2 linked regions of the Lepisosteus oculatus genome follow. The protein of the gene in region 1 purifies or fractionates together with the protein of each later gene. This does not show direct contact. Links are inferred from orthologs where the notes say so. Each region holds a gene or a part of one and is shown in the gene's direction. Other genes may lie near its edges.

Region 1 (10,519 bases):
TCAGTCAGTGTCCCTGTGCTGTAGTGTCCAGTCAGTCAGTCAGGGTCTCTGTGCTGTAGTGTCCAGTCAGTCAGTCAGGGTCTCTGTGCTGTAGTGTCCAGTCAGTCAGTGTCTCTGTGCTGTAGTGTCCAGTCAGTCAGTCAGTGTCTCTGTGCTGTAGTGTCCAGTCAGTCAGGGTCACTGTGCTCTAGTGTCCAGTCAGTCAGTCAGTGTCTCTGTGCTGTAGTGTCCAGTCAGTCAGTCAGGGTCTCTGTGCTGTAGTGTCCAGTCAGTCAGTGCCTGTGCTGTAGTGTCCAGTCAGTCAGTCAGGGTCACTGTGCTGTAGTGTCCAGTCAGTCAGTCAGGGTCACTGTGCTGTAGTGTCCAGTCAGTCAGTCAGTGTCTCTGTGCTGTAGTGTCCAGTCAGTCAGTCAGGGTCACTGTGCTGTAGTGTCCAGTCAGTCAGTGTCTGTGCTGTAGTGTCCAGTCAGTCAGTGTCTGTGCTGTAGTGTCCAGTCAGTCAGTGTCTGTGCTGTAGTGTCCAGTCAGTCAGTCAGTGTCTCTGTGCTGTAGTGTCCAGTCAGTCAGTGTCTCTGTGCTGTAGTGTCCAGTCAGTCAGGGTCACTGTGCTGACCAGTGTCTCTCTGTGTCTCAGGACTATGTGGACTCTCTGAAGGGCCTGTGCTATGATGGGATGGAGGGGCTGCTGTATCTGTGTCTCTATTCCTTGCTGTCTGCTGTGTCCTTCACCACTCTGCTCTGCTCCCTGCCCGGCGCCTGGAGGGGCTTCTCCAGGTCAGGGCGTCCGCGGCTCTGCCTGTCATCGCTGTGCTAGACTAGAGCTCCTCGATCTCGTCAGGCATTCAATTGTTATTAAAACTCCTGCTTCAGGGGTGTTCTTCATAAACTTCTTTCTCTGTCTTTTCCCACCTGGCAGCGACTCGGACAACTATGAAGACTCCGACAGTGAGAGCGAGGACCCCTTTCCTTCTCACCAGGCACGTAGACAGACGCCCGCGGGCTCCCAGCGCGGTGTCCTACCTGGTTTCTATAGTTACCAGGGGGCCAGCTGGGCTCCGCCCTTTTCCAGCGCACCCCCCCTCCCGTGAGTAACAGACAGGCAGACCGACACGCACACACACCACTACACACAAACGTTAGACGCACACAACGACACACGCACTGATACATGCACACACACACTATCTGACACGTACACACAGACTGACACACAAATACACAAATTCACAGATACAGAGACTCAAACACACACACAGAGACACAGACAGCTACACATACACACACAGATACAGACACTGTTTGCCTGGTCAGAGGGTGTGAAAATACTACTGAGGCAGTGGGTCAGTCAGTCAGTCTGTCTGTCTGTACTTTCCTCTGATTTAATGACAGACAGACAGAAATGATGCTTCATTTCAATAGGATTAGGAATGATCTCAACCCAGTCTCCTCTCTCAGTGCAGTGTTCATGTACTGGAGTGTCCAGTCAGTGTGTCTGTATTAACCCCTCTCTCTCAGTGCAGTGTTCATGTACTGGAGTGTCCAGTCAGTGTGTCTGTATTAACCCCTCTCTCTCAGTGCAGTGTTAATGTACTGGAGTGTCCAGTCAGTATGTCTGTATTAACCCCTCTCTCTCTCAGTGCAGTGTTCATGTACTGGAGTGTCCAGTCAGTGTGTCTGTATTAACCCCTCTCTCTCAGTGCAGTGTTAATGTACTGGAGTGTCCAGTCAGTGTGTCTGTATGAACCCCTCTCTCTCAGTGCAGTGTTCATGTACTGGAGTGTCCAGTCAGTGTGTCTGTATGAACCCCTCTCTCTCAGTGCAGTGTTCATGTACTGGAGTGTCCAGTCAGTGTGTCTGTATGAACCCCTCTCTCTCTCAGTGCAGTGTTCATGTACTGGAGTGTCCAGTCAGTGTGTCTGTATGAACCCCTCTCTCTCTCTCAGTGCAGTGTTCATGTACTGGAGTGTCCAGTCAGTGTGTCTGTATGAACCCCTCTCTCTCTCAGTGCAGCGTTCATGTACTGGAGTGTCCAGTCAGTGTGTCTGTATGAACCCCTCTCTCTCTCAGTGCAGTGTTCATGTACTGGAGTGTCCAGTCAGTGTGTGTGTATGAACCCCTCTCTCTCTCAGTGCAGTGTTAATGTACTGGAGTGTCCTGTGTGTCTGTATTAACCCCTCTCTCTCTCTCAGGACTCCAAGCACTTCCTCCAATGGCAATCCTGGATATGAGAGCCTCCCCTTGATTGACAGGCAGTCCCCGCCCCCCTCGGTGAGGCTCCCATTCTGGTGGCAGGTGGTTACTCTCCTGAACGGATTGACAGAATCCTTCTCTAATTGGAGAGTAGTCACCTGAAGTCCTTTTCATCTGTAAAGCCCAGTCGCTTAGTCTCGGGGATCATTCATAACATGAATCTTCATCTTGCTTTTACTTGAGTAACTCCTTTTATTTTGTTTCTTTCCTTTCATTCCTGGGGCACCCCTCTTGGATTTCCGCAATGGATCGCTCCGACTCCGCCCTCTCCTCTGTCTGCGGGTGGCCCCGCCCCTCCCTCTCTCTGATTGGACAGTATTCACCGAGCATGATGACTGGCTATGGAGGCAGCCAATCGAACTCGAACCCCACCTACTCCCAGATCCTCTCTTTACACTGAAGGTCCTGTCCTTGTCCTGTCCTCTCGTCTGGCCAGAGGCTGTGACCGTGTTTGTAAATGACGGGTTTAATTATAAAACTGCTGGGCTGGTGGAGGGAGCAGAGTCACTCCATTTCATCAGACAGACTGTGACCAGAGTGCATACTGGTCAGCCTGACTGGGACAGGAGTGGACACTGGTCAGTATGACTGGGTCAGGAGTCAACAGCGGGCAGTCTGACTGGGACAGGAGTGGACACTGGTCAGTCTGACTGGGTCAGGAGTCAACAGCGGGCAGTCTGACTGGAACAGGAGTGCACACTGGTCAGTATGACTGGGACAGGAGTGGACACTGGTCAGTTTGACTGGGTCAGGAGTCAACAGCGGGCAGTCTGACTGGGACAGGAGTGGACACTGGTCAGTATGACTGGGTCAGGAGTCAACAGCGGGCAGTCTGACTGGGACAGGAGTGGACACTGGTCAGTATGACTGGGTCAGGAGTCAACAGCGGGCAGTCTGACTGGGACAGGAGTGGACACTGGTCAGTCTGACTGGGTCAGGAGTCAACAGCGGGCAGTCTGACTGGGACAGGAGTGGACACTGGTCAGTTTGAACGTGGCAGGAGTGGGCACTGATCAGTCTGACTGGGACAGGAGTGGACAGCAGGCAGCCTGACTGGGGCAGGGGTGGACAGTGGACAGGAGTGGACAGTGGTCAGCTGTAAGTGAGACGAGAGTGGCGCTGCTCCTGTTTGATGTTTGTGTCACCAGGGTGTCCTCCTGACTGCACAACACACCCAGCCTTTTCTCCTGTTAGCCTTCTAATGAGCTTTTATAAAGAGGGACCGAGCACTGTCAGACCTGATAAGGGATCTGTACCCTTGTTTATCACTGTGTATTCATAGCAATAAAACTCTAGCTGCGCTCCTGACACTACAGGTGCTACTTCTGCTTAATTAATTGTGTTATTAATTATTATTCTTCTTCTGCTGTACTCTCCCCGGAGCCGCTGCGGTCTCTGCAGGCGTCCGGGCGGGGGACAGCGCCCCGCGCTGCGCAGGCGGGCCAGTGTCACTGCAGCTCTGAGGTGTGGGGGAGCTGGTGGACTGTGTTTCCAGATGACGACCCTGTATTGTCCCCTCTCCTGCCTCTAATAAAGTCGATCTCTGCCAGACTGGGGTCTGTGTCCCGTGTGTGTGAGGCTGTGGGGGTCATTACACAGGGGCCGTCAGCACAGACACACGTCAGTACACACAGGTACAAACACATCGCTACACTGACAGACACACGTCAGTACACACAGGTACAAACACATCGCTACACTGACAGACACACGTCAGTACACACAGGTACAAACACATCAATACACTCACAGACACACGTCAGTACACACAGATACAAACACATCGCTACCCTCACAGACACACGTCAGTACACACAGATACAAACACATCGCTACACTCACAGACACACGTCAGTACACACAGGTACAAACACATCGCTACACTCACAGACACACGTCAGTACACACAGATACAAACACATCGCTACACTGACAGACACATGTCAGTACACACAGATACAAACACATCGCTACACTCACAGACACACGTCAGTACACACAGATACAAACACATCGCTACACTGACAGACAGACATCACTACATACAGATACAAACACATCGCTACACTGACAGACAGACATCACTACATACAGATACAAACACATCGCTACACTCACAGACACACGTCAGTACACACAGGTACAAACACATCGCTACCCTCACAGACACACGTCAGTACACACAGGTACAAACACATCGCTACCCTCACAGACACACGTCAGTACACACAGATACAAACACATCGCTACACTGACAGACAGACATCACTACATACAGATACAAACACATCGCTACACTCACTGACACACATCAGGAGATGCTCTATGAAACGTATGGTTACACACACTGATACACAAACACGTGCCCTGTCTCTGTGGGGAAATGAAAATGTGTGTGACTGATACACGTATTGCATAATGTACAGTACAAAACTGTACACAATGTACACACTACACACTGAACACACTGCCGCCTGTACAATCAGCGCATGAAAGATAATCTCCAATAAAACGCGCTCTCGGTCATGGTGACCTTAAAATGAAACGCGCTTCCTTTTACCTGTAATTACAGAAGTGAACTAAATATCATTTCGTGCAACTGATGCGTTTCCTTCGTGCAGAAAAGGTGGATTTATGTATCTTGGAATCGGTCAGGGTAGCTGTTGTTTTGCTGTTTTTTAGAGGTGAAAATCTTTGAAGAACTACGGTAATTTGAGAGCATGACGTCAGAATCATGCGCCTCGAATCACATGACAGCAGAGGCGAAGGGTCTGTTGTGCTGACAGTGGACGGAGACCTGTCGTTATCTTAACTGTCGCTCGAAATATTTTTAGCGTTGCTGTCAGCTCTCGCAGTATCGGCGGTAGCAGCAGTCGAGGTAGTTCTAGGTCTTGCTACGAGACAGACATCAAACTCTTTGTAGTTTACTTAAGTAAACACCGCCAGGCTCAGCGCAGAGAAGGTAAGACTTCGTCAATAATGTCCTCAGTTATACGATTGATCCTGACAAGCAAGTAGTGTGTAGTCGAATTAAATCGCCTGTCATATGATTTCAGTGTATTCTAAGAGCTGTCCTGGACTCCAGGTGTGTGTGTGTGTGTACAGTGTGTCCAGTAAGAGTCTGGACTCCAGGTGTGTGTGTATACAGTGTGTCCAGTAAGAGTCTGGACTCCAGGTGTGTGTGTGTGTGTGTGTGTGTGTGTGTGTGTGTACAGTCTGTACAGTGTGACCAGTAAGAGTCTGGACTCCAGGTGTGTGTGTGTATACAGTGTGTCCAGTAAGAGTCTGGACTCCAGGTGTGTGTGTGTGTGTGTGTGTGTGTGTGTGTGTGTACAGTCTGTACAGTGTGACCAGTAAGAGTCTGGACTCCAGGTGTGTGTGTGCATACAGTGTGTCCAGTAAGAGTCTGGACTCCAGGTGTGTACAGTGTGTACAGTGTGTCCAGTAAGAGTCTGGACTCCAGGTGTGTGTGTGTGTGTACAGTGTGTCCAGTAAGAGTCTGGACTCCAGGTGTGTGTGTGTATACAGTGTGTCCAGTAAGAGTCTGGACTCCAGGTGTGTGTGTGTGTGTATACAGTGTGTCCAGTAAGAGTCTGGACTCCAGGTGTGTGTGTGTGTGTGTGTATACAGTGTGTCCAGTAAGAGTCTGGACTCCAGGTGTGTGTGTGTGTATACAGTGTGTCCAGTAAGAGTCTGGACTCCAGGTGTGTGTGTGTGTATACAGTATGTCCAGTAAGAGTCTGGACTCCAGGTGTGTGTGTGTGTGTACAGTGTGTCCAGTAAGAGTCTGGACTCCAGGTGTGTGTGTGTGTGTGTATACAGTGTGTCCAGTAAGAGTCTGGACTCCAGGTGTGTGTGTGTATACAGTGTGTCCAGTAAGAGTCTGGACTCCAGGTGTGTGTGTATACAGTGTGTCCAGTAAGAGTCTGGACTCCAGGTGTGTGTATGTATACAGTGTGTCCAGTAAGAGTCTGGACTCCAGGTGTGTGTGTGTATACAGTGTGTCCAGTAAGAGTCTGGACTCCAGGTGTGTGTGTGTGTGTATACAGTGTGTCCAGTAAGAGTCTGGACTCCAGGTGTGTGTGTGTATACAGTGTGTCCAGTAAGAGTCTGGGCTCCAGGTGTGTGTGTGTGTGTACAGTGTGTCCAGTAAGAGTCTGGACTCCAGGTGTGTGTGTGTGTGTACAGTGTGTCCAGTAAGAGTCTGGGCTCCAGGTGTGTGTGTGTATACAGTGTGTCCAGTAAGAGTCTGGGCTCCAGGTGTGTGTGTGTGTGTACAGTGTGTCCAGTAAGAGTCTGGACTCCAGGTGTGTGTGTGTGTGTGTACAGTGTGTCCAGTAAGAGTCTGGACTCCAGGTGTGTGTGTGTGTGTGTATACAGTGTGTCCAGTAAGAGTCTGGACTCTAGGTGTGTGTGTATACAGTGTGTCCAGTAAGAGTCTGGACTCCAGGTGTGTGTGTGTGTGTGTATACAGTGTGTCCAGTAAGAGTCTGGACTCTAGGTGTGTGTGTATACAGTGTGTCCAGTAAGAGTCTGGACTCCAGGTGTGTGTGTGTGTATACAGTGTGTCCAGTAAGAGTCTGGGCTCCAGGTGTGTGTGTGTGTGTACAGTGTGTCCAGTAAGAGTCTGGACTCCAGGTGTGTGTGTGTGTGTACAGTGTGTCCAGTAAGAGTCTGGGCTCCAGGTGTGTGTGTGTATACACTGTGTCCAGTAAGAGTCTGGACTCCAGGTGTGTGTGTGTGTGTACAGTGTGTCCAGTAAGAGTCTGGACTCCAGGTGTGTGTGTGTGTGTACAGTGTGTCCAGTAAGAGTCTGGACTCCAGGTGTGTGTGTGTGTGTGTATACAGTGTGTCCAGTAAGAGTCTGGACTCTAGGTGTGTGTGTATACAGTGTGTCCAGTAAGAGTCTGGACTCCAGGTGTGTGTGTGTGTGTACAGTGTGTCCAGTAAGAGTCTGGACTCCAGGTGTGTGTGTGTGTATACAGTGTGTCCAGTAAGAGTCTGGACTCTAGGTGTGTGTGTATACAGTGTGTCCAGTAAGAGTCTGGACTCCAGGTGTGTGTGTGTATACAGTGTGTCCAGTAAGAGTCTGGACTCCAGGTGTGTGTGTGTGTGTGTGTGTGTGTATACAGTGTGTCCAGTAAGAGTCTGGACTCCAGGTGTGTGTGTGTTTATACAGTGTGTCCAGTAAGAGTCTGGACTCCAGGTGTGTGTGTGTGTGTGTATACAGTGTGTCCAGTAAGAGTCTGGACTCCAGGTGTGTGTGTGTATACAGTGTGTCCAGTAAGAGTCTGGACTCCAGGTGTGTGTTTGTATACAGTGTGTCCAGTAAGAGTCTGGACTCCAGGTGTGTGTGTGTATACAGTGTGTCCAGTAAGAGTCTGGACTCCAGGTGTGTGTGTGTGTATACAGTGTGTCCAGTAAGAGTCTGGACTCCAGGTGTGTGTGTGTGTGTGTGTGTGTGTGTGTATACAGTGTGTCCAGTAAGAGTCTGGACTCCAGGTGTGTGTGTGTGTTTATACAGTGTGTCCAGTAAGAGTCTGGACTCCAGGTGTGTGTGTGTGTGTGTATACAGTGTGTCCAGTAAGAGTCTGGACTCCAGGTGTGTGTGTGTGTATACAGTGTGTCCAGTAAGAGTCTGGACTCCAGGTGTGTGTGTGTGTACAGTGTGTCCAGTAAGAGTCTGGACTCCAGGTGTGTGTGTGTGTTTATACAGTGTGTCCAGTAAGAGTCTGGACTCCAGGTGTGTGTGTGTGTGTATACAGTGTGTCCAGTAAGAGTCTGGACTCCAGGTGTGTGTGTGTATACAGTGTGTCCAGTAAGAGTCTGGACTCCAGGTGTGTGTGTGTATACAGTGTGTCCAGTAAGAGTCTGGACTCCAGGTGTGTGTGTGTGTATACAGTGTGTCCAGTAAGAGTCTGGACTCTCTCTCTCAGTACCTGTCTCTCTCTCCCCAGATGAATGCTCTGGTGGCGCTGTGTCACTTCTGTGAGCTCCACGGGCCCCGGACCCTCTTCTGCACAGAGGCTCTGCACCCCCCATCTCCCTCCGTGCCCCCCGACCCGCCGCTGGCACCCCCGGCCGGCCCCTGCCCCCCCCCAGAGCAGGACAGGGAGCGGGAGGGAGAGGGAGTGGGGCTCACCATGCGAGCCAGCGGTTCGGCCAGTCAGAGAGCGGACATGTGTGACGTGAGTCTCTCTGAGGGCAGTGTGTCAGTATCGACCCCTCTGTCTCTCTGAGGGCAGTGTGTCAGTATCGACCCCTCTGTCTCTCTGGGCAGTGTGTCAGTATCGACCCCTCTGTCTCTCTGGGCAGTGTGTCGGTATCGACCCCTCTGTCTCTCTGGGCAGTGTGTCGGTATCGACCCCTCTGTCTCTCTGAGGGCAGTGTGTCAGTATCGACCCCTCTGTCTCTCTGGGCAGTGTGTCAGTATCGACCCCTCTGTCTCTCTGAGGGCAGTGTGTCAGTATCGACCCCTCTGTCTCTCTGAGGGCAGTGTGTCAGTATCGACCCCTCTGTGTCTCTGGGCAGTGTGTCAGTATCGACCCCTCTGTCTCTCTGGGCAGTGTGTCAGTATCGACCCCTCTGTCTCTCTGGGCAGTGTGTCAGTATCGACCCCTCTGTCTCTCTGAGGGCAGTGTGTCAGTATCGACCCCTCTGTCTCTCTCTGGGCAGTGTGTCAGTATCGACCCCTCTGTCTCTCTCTGGGCAGTGTGTCAGTATCGACCCCTCTGTCTCTCTGAGGGCAGTGTGTCAGTATCGACCCCTCTGTCTCTCTGGGCAGTGTGTCAGTATCGACCCCTCTGTCTCTCTGAGGGCAGTGTGTCAGTATCGACCCCTCTGTCTCTCTGAGGGCAGTGTGTCAGTATCGACCCCTCTGTGTCTCTGGGCAGTGTGTCAGTATCGACCCCTCTGTCTCTCTGAGGGCAGTGTGTCAGTATCGACCCCTCTGTCTCTCTGAGGGCAGTGTGTCAGTATCGACCCCTCTGTCTCTCTGGGCAGTGTGTCAGTATCGACCCCTCTGTCTCTCTGAGGGCAGTGTGTCAGTATCGACCCCTCTGTCTCTCTGGGCAGTGTGTCAGTATCGACCCCTCTGTCTCTCTGGGCAGTGTGTCAGTATCGACCCCTCTGTCTCTCTGGGCAGTGTGTCAGTATCGACCCCTCTGTCTCTCTGAGGGCAGTGTGTCAGTATCGACCCCTCTGTCTCTCTCTGGGCAGTGTGTCAGTATCGACCCCTCTGTCTCTCTGAGGGCAGTGTGTCAGTATCGACCCCTCTGTCTCTCTGGGCAGTGTGTCAGTATCGACCCCTCTGTCTCTCTGAGGGCAGTGTGTCAGTATCGACCCCTCTGTCTCTCTGAGGGCAGTGTGTCAGTATCGACCCCTCTGTCTCTCTGGGCAGTGTGTCAGTATCGACCCCTCTGTCTCTCTGAGGGCAGTGTGTCAGTATCGACCCCTCTGTCTCTCTGAGGGCAGTGTGTCAGTATCGACCCCTCTGTATCTCTGAGGGCAGTGTGTCAGTATCGACCCCTCTGTCTCTCTGAGGGCAGTGTGTCAGTATCGACCCCTCTGTCTCTCTCTGGGCAGTGTGTCAGTATCGACCCCTCTGTCTCTCAGGGCAGTGTGTCAGTATCGACCCCTCTGTCTCTCTGAGGGCAGTGTGTCAGTATCGACCCCTCTGTCTCTCTGAGGGCAGTGTGTCAGTATCGACCCCTCTGTCTCTCTGGGCAGTGTGTCAGTATCGACCCCTCTGTCTCTCTGAGGGCATTGTGTCAGTATCGACCCCTCTGTCTCTCTGAGGGCATTGTGTCAGTATCGACCCCTCTGTCTCTCTGAGGGCATTGTGTCAGTATCGACCCCTCTGTCTCTCTGAGGGCAGTGTGTCAGTATCGACCCCTCTGTCTCTCTGGGCAGTGTGTCAGTATCGACCCCTCTGTCTCTCTCAGGGCAGTGTGTCAGTATTAACCCCTCTGTCTCTCTCAGGGCTGTCGTTCTCTCCCGGTGGGGCACCCAGGGTTCGTCAGTGTGGACAGTGAGACAGGAATTCGCTTCGTCAGTCATCAGCAGCCCCGGCAGCCTCAACTCTTCAGCATCGTCAGGCAGGCCTGTGTCAGGAGCCTGAGCTGTGAGGTAGAGTCCAGTCAGTCAGTCAGGGTCACTGTGCTGTAGTGTCCAGTCAGTCAGTCAGGGTCACTGTGCTGTAGTGTCCAGTCAGTCAGTCAGGGTCACTGTGCTGTAGTGTCCAGTCAGTCAGTGTCTCTGTGCTGTAGTG
Region 2 (11,077 bases), on another chromosome or scaffold:
CTTCACATCTTCAGCAACAGACAGGATTTTGTCAACCTATATAAATAAAACATATAAATATAAATTAAACACAGAAAATGATGCCATAGAAAACAAACATTAAAGTCAAATGTAAAGCAAGATTTTAAAACACTAAAGTGGTTTGAGAAGCCACCTTTAATGGTGCTATAATAATAAACTTTATTCATAATACTAATCATAATACCACGGAACAAGTAATAGGTTTATTCCATGCTGAAAAGAGAAGAAAGCAAACACAACATTTCGGCCGTGGAGCCTTCTTCAGATGCTCAAACCTGAATAAAAGTGATGACATAGGAATAACAATTATCAAAACATTTAAAATAATCAGTATATCTGAGGCTCAATCTCTGTTCCTCTATAACAGACTATAACAGGATATATGTTAATACCCTGCCAATTCCAGAGAGTTTCCTGCTCTTCTACTAGTTGGATTGATGGATGTTGTGATTCTAGCAAGTGTAGTAATTCTGTTTAGATTCCTTATTTTAGGTAAGAATATTTTGTCTAATCTCTGAGAACTTCTTGCAGTGTAGCAGAAAGAGCATCTCTGTCTGTTTCTCTTTACTGATAGTGGGAACACAGCCTGGTCTAACTAGTTAGCCAAGTTTGCCTGTGTCACACAGTTTCTATATCCAGGCTGTGGTTCCTGAACCTATAATATGTCAGTCTCCGCTTCTCCTTTTTGTCTTTCACTATGGTCACAATACTTGTCCAGTCCGTATATTCTTTTAATGACCAGATAAACTTGTCATTTTACTTATTTTCAGAGGCTTTCATTCAGAATTTCCAAAAGAATGTACTTTAAAATTAGTTACAGCACCACATAAAGCCTCTGACTGGTATCCACCCACACAAAAGCAGTAGACTTATTTGAGATGCACAACAAAGTGAGCGTTTGAAAACAGCCTATGAGTAAAACGGATCCACCTCATCAATGTACCACTGTTACAATGCTGCAGCTTGTGTTACATGCAATTGTTAGTCCATTTGGCTTTTACCTGAAAAGTAGACGGTTCAGGCGCACCCAGAGACTCTTAAGATTTATTGGGCTGGGTAGGCCAAGTGACCTATCATTTATAACTGTTCTTATGCTCAGCTCTCTTTAATAATACATTGGGACATTTTTAAGTTAGTTTTATCGTACTCTGTCACTCTCAGTATGTAATGCTGCTTTTTTCTCAATGTTCATAATACAAAACCATGAAAATGTAAAGGGTAAAAGTCAGCAGACTGTACTTACATCTTTGAAATGAATATCTGAGTCCTCTGGAAAATCAGGATAGGTATCCCCTTCTTCATCATTTGGAGCAATTCCCCAGTCATCTCCTTGCTTAAGCTCCCCACAGTCAGCTATAACACAAGGCTTTCCAAGGATTCAAAGAAATAGATTAGGCCCAGGCCTTCTTGGGCAGGATTCATCAGCTGAAATCTACAAACTATACTTATTTTCATCTGTGTAAGTCAATCAGCAGGGAAAAGTACTGCAGCAACTGAAACACACAAACACAGACAAAGCCCTCTTGACCTGGAAAGTAGTTAAGGTGACAGTTTTGATAAATAAATGTATCAAAAAAAGTCAAACCAATGATCCAAGCACCCGGGTCATTATGTTTTAGCTCTTAATTTTACAAAACAGAACAAAATGACCAGGCACAAATGGCAAAATGCCTGTTTAAAAATTACTGCAATAATTTGCTGTGGTTAGTAATAAGGTTCTTGCAACCCTCCCCCCCAATTAATCACTGATCAGTCATTAAGGGCATGATGTGTATAATGGTTTACTCTCACTTAACAAAGGGATTTGAAGTCAAAATTGTACTTTCAAATTTCATCACAATCTGCAAGTTAAATCAAGGTTACCAAATAAGGTACCCACAAAACAAAAAAGATTTGGGCACCTGACTGACAAAAAAAAAACAAACAGATTTGTATCCCAAATAAATAATTATTTACTTAAATTAATAATTTAAAATATGGGGTAAGATCAGATGAGCAATACAGTGCAAATACAAACCGGAGCTAATTAGCTATCATTAGAAATGCTATTAATGCCTCACTGTGAAAGCAAATACGTCAAGGTAAAACTTAGGACAGTTATAAATAGAAGAAATTTAAGAACACATTAAAAATGCTACCAGCATGCCGTGGCAAATACACATGACAGCGCTTACTTTGAAGATGCAGAAAAAATAATTGCAATTTGCTTCTACATATTTGATCCATTTAATGCATACAATCCCATAATAAAATTCAGAATATTTATTTGCATGGAAAACTTTCAACAAAGATAAGGACACAAGGCATATAATGAAATGCTAACAGGAATAAAGTTGTTACTCTAGTTGTAATTTCAGCTGTGACAACAAAGTTAACCACAATGGCTAAACCTCTACACAATTAACAAGAAAAATTGTTTAATTAACTAATGTTCTCAAAAATAGAATATATTGAATTCATTTTCCATACCTTGACAGGTGCATCATCTTTAGTCTCCATTGCTTCAAGGATTTTGACCACACCCATGCCTTTCAATACTTGTCCAAAGACTACATGTTTCCCATCAAGGTGTTCAGTTGGTACTGTGGTGATGAAGAACTGAGAGCCATTTGTGTTTGGGCCAGCATTGGCCATACTCAGCAATCCTTCTTTGTCATGCTGTAACAGAAAAATTAGAAAAGACCTTTATGATGAAATTCAATTGAATTCAGTTTTATTTGTATAGCGCTTTTTACAATGGACATTGTCACAGAGTAGCTTTACCGATTTCTAGGCCTGCACCCCAGAACAATCTACAAGTTAAATCATTGTAACCACATAAGGTACCGAATACGAATTTTCACCTTAATTGTGACTTACCTTATAGTGAAAGTTTTCATCTTCAAACTTTGCTCCGTAAATACTCTCCCCTCCAGTACCATTTTGATTGGAGAAATCTCCACCTTGGACCATGAACTTCTTTATAACTTAAAAAAAATGTACCAATGTATTATTAAAGAAATCACATTCAGTAATCCTTTGTCAATTGGGAAAGTTTTGTACATTATGATTAGAAAATATGGAATTAGTCGGCCAGAGCTCTGACTCTCTGTCTCTCAGCAACACAGCAGCCCTTAGCGTCTCCTGGGCGCTTGCAGACGCATCTCTCCTCCTATCAGCACTTAACCGGTGGAAGAGGGATATTTTGTCTGCAACATGTTAAAAGAGAAGTTATGTGGGAAGGGGAGTCTGCCAACTCTTCCTCATTCTCCTCTGTGCACAGTTCATAGCTATGAGCCGAGATGTAAAAACTGGCTAATCCAAACCAGTTGGGTACAGCAAACAAGTAACTGCCTTTTCTAAAACTGTGAACAATGTACAGTTCAACAAACTGTATTTTTACACTTTATACCCGTGTCAAGGAATGAGAATGTCAGTACTTCCATCTGCAACTATATGTCTTCAATGGATGGTAAGGTTTGTAAAGTTTAAATATTAAACGAATACTCACTCCTGTGGAACGGACATCCTTTAAAATGGAGTGGTTTTCCAGTCGTTGCACCTATTCCCTTTTCTCCAGTGCACAGGGCTCGGAAATTTTCAGCAGTTTTAGGGACAACGTCAGCAAACAGTTCCATCACAATGCGCCCAACTAAAATGCCAAGGATTATAGTTAATACCTGTAATGTATAATCAGTTAAGACATTTTAACCATGCAGGGACCATCTCAAGTTTAAATTTGAGACAAACCATTTACTAAGTACTTAGTACATCTATTAAGGGTCAGTACACCTGGTCCTGGAGAGCCCTAATGCACCACATTGTAAAGGCCAGCTAATTTTTAATGACTGTAACCACTTATAAGTTATTGATCACAAATGCAAATAGTATTAAATTAAGGGAACTCTTGTCCTAGAGGGCTTAAAATGTCTGCTCCAAGTGATCCTGGAACAATGGGTGACCCCATTTGCGATACCCTGGAACAGGTCCTAAATGAGGACATGTTCAAACTTGAACAGTATTGAAACACATATGAAGTCAAACCAAGCCCCTCAAAAACAGTATCGAGTCTATTTAACCAAATGACCCATCAGAAAATGCAGCATTATCGTAGTCCAAAATACCATGGAGTCTTCCAGACCCCTTAAGGAGAACAGCAGCTAAGATCAAAACAAGGAACAATCTGATCTCCAAACTTGCTGGTACAACACTGGGAGCTGCCACTACCATCCTCAGGACCTCAGCTCTTGCACTCTTTCTCAGCAGCAGAATACTGATCATCACATACTCACAGAGTAGACACCCAGCCACCATGCATATCATCACTGGAGCCCTATACTCAACCCCACTCTCCTGCCTCCCTGATCTAGTGAACATCACTCCTCCACATATCCAATGACTCATAATAACCCACAAAATGTTTTAAAAAGTCCAAAATGCTCTTCACCTGCCACTTCACGGAGACATATTTAATCCACCAAGTATACATCTGCGTTCAAGAAAACCAGTCTGGAAAAACCCTCCGTAGCAAGACTTCAATGCAGACGCCAGCTGGGATCAAGGAAGGGAATCACCATGCGTAACAGACAAGCACCTCATCACATGCCCTACCCAACAATCCTGTGGTTTTCACTTCTCAAGAAAAAAAGTGATCAGCTCTCACTTTAGAAATAGTCATGGTCCATGTCTTGAACAGGAACAAAGCCCTCTGTGTTCCTGTGAGATGGAGCAAACTATGCAGCACATCCTAGAGGACTCCCCAATCCACAGACTCAGAGGAGAAAAACACAACCTCAACAACCAGACCAGAAGCCATTGCTTGTCTCAGGGACTTGTCTCAACAGACATTTGGGTGCAACCAGTAAAATAAGCTTTGCGAGAATGAATGAATCGAATCAATACAAAACAGACAGGTACAACAAACGTGTCTGGTCCAATGCCTAGAGTACGTGCACTCTTTTTTTTTAATTTGCAATTAAATGTCTATAGGTATCCCTATATTTATTGTCCGCCTGGATGTATATATACATAAATTTAGCTAGCAGTGTGCATAGTGCTCTTGAAAGCGACACGAAAACACACATTTTAAAGAAGAATAAATGTTTAAATAATTACAGATCAAAGCTATAAAACAATATTAAACAAATCAAGTGCTCGTGTATATGTATAGTAATAATGTCCAGGAATATCTGAAACATGCGTCTCGACGATCGGCATGCAGTGTCTGTTGGTCAATAAAAATCCTTACCTCTCTCTCCTCCTACATCCACATCAAAGAAAGCCCGAGGGTTATCTGGGTTCATAGGTTTACTCTGAAGCGTGGGATTTGACATTTTGCCTATGGTATAATAAAGCAACCTCTTCAGAACCGTCCTTCTCTTATCCTATGTAGCCGGGTCGTGTGCTGCCAACAGCCAGAAACACTACTTCCGCCGCAGAGCTGTAGACATCCGGGGCCTTGACGCCGCGAGAAATGTTCTCTGGACAATTCCGAGAGTGAAGGGCGGGAGGGGAAGAGCAGACGTGCTGTAGTAGATTACAGTGAAAATCTGCCGTGATCTCTTTTAAAATACACATCTTTTTTGTTTTAGAATTTGACAGTCATTGTATTACGACAAATCGTGACTTTTTTAGTAGATACAGTAGATATCTGAAGTATTTTACATTTCATGTCGTATTTGGACCAAATATACAGTACTGAGAAACTGGGAAAAAGGGAGCAATGTAGGATTTCAAGGAATGACAGACATTAAACAAGTACTTCAATAAATATGAAATCAAAAGGGCCTCAGTATGGAAAAAGTAATAAACTTCGTCAATATTAAGCACACGTGGTCTGATCATTTTAATTGCAATGGCTTTAGAGTGCTCCTCTTTAACACATCCCAGCGGCATTTGCTGAACTAAGGGTCCAATGGCTGACAGGTTTGCCGTATGTGTGTGTGATCTTGTTGTAGCCAATGGGGAGCGATCTGTGCCTAATTCCTGTGTGTGGCTGAGGCTGCACTCCTGCCTTTGAACACTCACATTGTCATATGACTCCGATACCGATCCATGGAGTTACTCTATTTCAACTCTTTACCATGGCCACGCACCAAAACCAAAGCAGACGAGCTCGATACCTTTAAAACGGTATGCCATGGCTCCTACGCTGCTTCAGAAGCTTTTTAACAAAAGAGCCAACGCGGCTTCTTCATCGAAGGGTTATAAAGGACCCGAGCTTTGGTGAGTTTGAAGTCAATTGTTTTCAAAACGCCAAAAATACATGTTGTTGTACTGATTGTGCGTAGACAATATTCTTCAAATTGCTTAACAATGAATGAAACACGCAGTGGTGCAAAATGATATGGAGCGGGCTTCGATGAGTTTGTGCGCTCTGCATTTAAAAGGGAATTTGTCTTGGTATATTGATTTAAACCTTGTGAGCGAAGGCTCACAGTCTATCTACAACTGACGTAATGTGTAATGGCTTGTATGGGATTTTGTTTTCGATTAGGACTACTTGTTGCCAATTCATATATGTAGGTTGTTGTTTAACGTGCGTGTTATTAGAAAATATTCTAGAAATGGATTGCTAAGATACATTTGCAATAAAGGCGATTAGTGCAAGCTTGTGATTATGTTGTCTGTAGCTAGGTGGTGTAGTACCACTGGTGTAATATTTCGTGAAAGTTCCACCCAGGACGTTTTTAAGTAGAAATGATTAAATTAGGGTTTTTGTAATTTATCTATTTTAAGCAGGCACTCCACATTCTAGAAGTGTCTCGGGGCCTATGTATTTCGTTACTCTGGACTATTGTTTTGCGTCGGCTGGCGTTTCTTGTTTTACTTTTCTTAGAAAATAATCGCAGGAAGTTAGACGCTCTGGGGACTGAATTCTGTTATTATCATAAATTAAAGAGTGATCGTTTTACTTCATAAGGTGAAAACGAGCTTCCCCAAAATCAGTTTGATGACTGTTGAAGGGACATTTGAAAATATTCTGTGGTTTAATGTCATGGAGTTAGTTGGCCAACAATGCAACCTGTAGTAGCACAATATAGTATGTTCTAATTATTTCCTCAGTGATTAATGTTCTAAGCTTTTAATGACTTGCAGAAAGAAACGTTTCATCTCCACTGAAGTGATTTAAAATTGTAACTGCTGATTGGGATGTACTAAAAAGGCCTATTTATACACAATCCCAGGATGTATTGTATGAAAGTGCTGAAACATGGGGGGGGGGGGAATGGAGAACTACATTGACAATGGACCTGTGATGTAGACAATTCATGTATGTTGTAGCATGCAGCTATTTAAGTTAATATGTAGTGTAATCACAGAGCAAGTGGGACATGGGGATCTCCGATATACTGCTCTTGGCCATTCTTGCTGGGAAGGAGCCAAGTGTGTAGATCAAATCCCATGTTCCAGCTTATGTTATAATAATGTAATGTAGTAATAATACATTATTATAGCTATTGGATTGTCTATTGTCTACCAGCTATTGGAACAGTCACTGGGAAACAAACTTTAATGTTAAAAGACCTTTTAAAGAATTTTAAAATTTTATAGGTGGATTAAGATGGTTCTAGGTAACTGGTCCTGTTGTGAAAGTGCACATCTTTATGTGCCCTGTGATGGACTGGTGTCCCATCCAGGGTGTGTCTCACCTTATGCTTGTTGCTTTCTGGGAAAGACTCCATCCAATTCACAGTTGCAGGGGAGCTGGAGTGGTTAGAAAATGGATAGATGGACAAAGGATACATTTGGACTGTCACATGTTTCAGTTTGTAACAGATGATCAAAGACACTACAGAAAAGAGTAAATACTCCACTAATTTTTTTTCACTGTGATTTAAATATAGGTAGGACACTGCAGGACCACTGCTCTTCTAAACTGATATCAGCATTGATATCTAGATAGAATTATATTTTGGTAAACAATTCAAGCAAGGTGATGCCAAAAAGAAGGATAAGCAAACAGTATAGGACTTATGAAAGATGTTCAACATTGCAAAATGCAAGACTTGGCAACCACCTGGCAGATGACATTTAATATAAACAAGTACGGAGTGTTACATGCAGGTAGTGCAGGCAGAAGAAACAAAGCTATGCGTATATGGTGGGGGAGGCTGTGAAGTTGGAGAAGCAACATATGAGAGACACTTCTAGGCTCTCTTTCAATCAACAGCTGAAAATCTCTTTCCAGTTTGTTAAACTTGTCTAATTAAGCTAATCATTAACCCTTTAGGCCATTAAGAGCAGAGGTGAAAAACCTGCAGATGCAGACCTGGAGTTGTGTGCCACTATTCTAGACAATGTGGTGGGGAAGAAAAAGACATGCAGAATATTAGGCTATATAGATAAACATGTCAAATTTAAAATCAAGGGATGTTATTAAAATGAACAATGCACTAATAGAAACAAAATGTACAATTTTGGTCACCATGTTATAATAAAGATTTTACTGCTCTGAAATCAGTCCAATGAAAAGGAACCAGAAACATTCCTGCTCTTAAAGGAATTCCCTAAAATGACAGACTTGGAGAACTGAATCTTTTTAGTTTAGAGAACAGAGATGTCTGAGGAGATCGAATTAATGTATCCAAAATTCTAAAATGGACAAAGTACACATAATTGGCCTCCTTAGTGATGGTGAAACACAAACAGGATGGGACACTAAAACAGAACAAAAGACACATTTTTACACAAAGGTCTGTAGGAGATTGGAACAGACTCCCCTGCCCTGTTGTTGTATTTGAGTCCCTGGCTTCTTTCAAGAAGCAGCCAAGTAAAATCATTGGACTGCTTAGCTACTAGCAATCAAATAAAGATCTGAAGTGGTTCCTCTCATTTAAATTTTCTTATGATCCTGTTTTCTTTATATCTTTAGAATAAAGAAAATGTTTTTTTTACATTAGTTACTCTACCCACTATACAGATTTATGCACTCTAGCACTTGTATGAAAACTTCACTTTTTTTTCTTCCCAAAGCGGCTATAAATCTTATTTGAACCATGTTTTCAAATCATTTTTCGAATCCATGACTAAAAATCTCCCTTGTGATTCTTGGTTTTCCTGTAATTCCGCCACAATTCGAAACTGAGAGTTATAAATGGGAACCTCACTGAATACTGTAATGTAAGGCATCTTTACCTTTGAACTACTCTGCTTTTCAAGGTCAATGAATATTATTTTTAATGTTATAGTTGGATATCATTCATTTTTACATTAACTTAAACAGAGTACTGCATTAGCCACCAAATGATGATGTCACAGCATCACTAATTGAGGCATAACTTTGCTTTTACATGGGAGGTTTCTTACATGAATATACATGTTATGACTGTCCGAGTTACCTTACTTGCCTTTAGCCTGTGCTGCCATGGATTAGCTGAATGAAAGGTGAAAATACAGCAAACACGAAAGCTTAACCATTCAAACTGCATGTCTGTGAAACTTCTTCAAGCTACCTCGTATGACTCTAAATAAAACAGATCTTTTAAACTAAATGTGTATTGAAATGGTTTTTCTAGTTTCTTTTTACTTGTTTCTCTGAAAGTAGCTTCCATTCAGTGTGTAAAACATTATTGCATTAAGATAACTGTTTATTTGCTGTGAGTCAATGGTGAAAACATGGGAGTTGCTTAATCACAAATTTGCAACACCTTTGGTCATGTGAATTTGTTTTGAATCATTCCTCTTAAAGTCTTATGAAAGTCATTTAAAAGCATAACCCTTTTCTTGAATGTTGGGTGATGAACAAATTCCTATTTCTTGTTTTATCTGGTAATTCATACTTTACTGTGAATGATAAACATTATTGTGCTGTGTTTTCATATCGGAGATGAAGACTATAAGCCATGATTCAGTATTAGATATATATATCTTGTATGTACAAATATTTAGGTTACAGTATGAAACTGTAATATGTTTTTTATATAGTAATGGTAAATATAAGTGCAATAAATTGTGGTCAATAAATATCAGTGATTTTCAGCAATATATCGAATACTGATATAGTTCTATTTAATATTAATATTATGCTTCTTATGATTTGAAATAAATAGTATGCGAAAGCATTGTGGAAAATCTATGTAATGCTTATGTTTAATTTAGAAAAAACACCAACTAATAAATATGACCATTTCTATATAAACTAGCCAGAATTTCTTTTAACTTGGAAAATGTTTTTTTTTGTATTTGTAATTATTGCAATAGTGAGGTGATTTATTTTAGCTCTTAAATGAAATTGTCTACAAAGCAGATGGGGTTTGTTTTTAGTCATACTAAAAACCTTCAGGGTACTGGCTTGTTTTAGTTCATGTACTTTTCTGAGAAGGGAGCATGAGGATCTACTCTATGCATTTTTAGGTCCTTGGGGAAAATCTAATCCTTATGTAACACTACTTTTTCTGTTCTTAGGTTAGCTTTGCATAGGAGGGATAACGATATTTCATAACTTTAACATTTTGTGCCGTTACAAAGCAAGTCATTTGCTGGTGCACCAGCTTTTAACGGCTTCACCTTTCACCCTTTTCTGTCTTCTGCTGATGTGATGATCATATCAGCTTTCTTTCCTGAAACTCTGTGCATGGCAGCCTATGCAGTATCTAAAGTACCACTGCCATCATATGCATATGAGTGCAGTTAATGGAATCCGAATGAAGAAGGTAATTGTAAAGGAGGTTGTGCCCTTGGTGACAGTATAGGAAGACTTCAAAATGTTGCACTACTGCTTCTCTCCTTATTTTATTTTGGATAAACTTCAATAAACACATGACTAAAAAATAACAGCTCGTGTTTTATTCTCCACTGGAAAATAAACTTGGTTACTTTTGAAGCTAAACATGGTACAAGACATAGATGTGGCATCACTGTCTGACACAGTGGTTAGCATTGCTGCCTCAGTCCTGTGGCCCTGGGTTCAATTCTGAACTGAAGTGCTATCTGCATGGAGTTTGTATGTTCTCCCTCTGTTCACATGGGTTTCCTCTATGTGCTCCCATTTCCTTCCCTGGGCCAGACGCATACTGGTAGGTTAATTTGCTTCTGGGAAAATTGACCGTGGAGTAAGTATGTCTGTGTGTCTGCT

What was found.
Region 2: the proteins of flcn (region 1) and fnip2 purify together in Homo sapiens (affinity purification with western blotting; 5 studies listed by BioGRID and IntAct, with this or other methods). This does not show direct contact. The link is inferred for Lepisosteus oculatus from reciprocal best matches to the Homo sapiens genes FLCN and FNIP2.

What each region holds. Positions count from the first base shown.
Region 1 is NC_090718.1:1,062,860-1,073,378, forward strand, and holds the start of flcn (folliculin), read left to right. Parts: upstream 1-4,982; 5' UTR 4,983-5,212; intron 5,213-8,207; coding exon 8,208-8,438; intron 8,439-10,230; coding exon 10,231-10,377; intron 10,378-10,519. Other genes in the region: ttyh1 (protein tweety homolog 1), read left to right, coding at 635-774, 917-1,084, 2,190-2,268, 2,567-2,650. UniProt on the Homo sapiens protein: Multi-functional protein, involved in both the cellular response to amino acid availability and in the regulation of glycolysis.
Region 2 is NC_090696.1:23,506,040-23,517,116, reverse strand, and holds the start of fnip2 (folliculin-interacting protein 2), read left to right. Parts: upstream 1-5,983; 5' UTR 5,984-6,139; coding exon 6,140-6,225; intron 6,226-11,077. Other genes in the region: ppid (peptidyl-prolyl cis-trans isomerase D), read right to left, coding at 1-36, 1,265-1,387, 2,491-2,679, 2,881-2,987, 3,512-3,652, 5,249-5,333.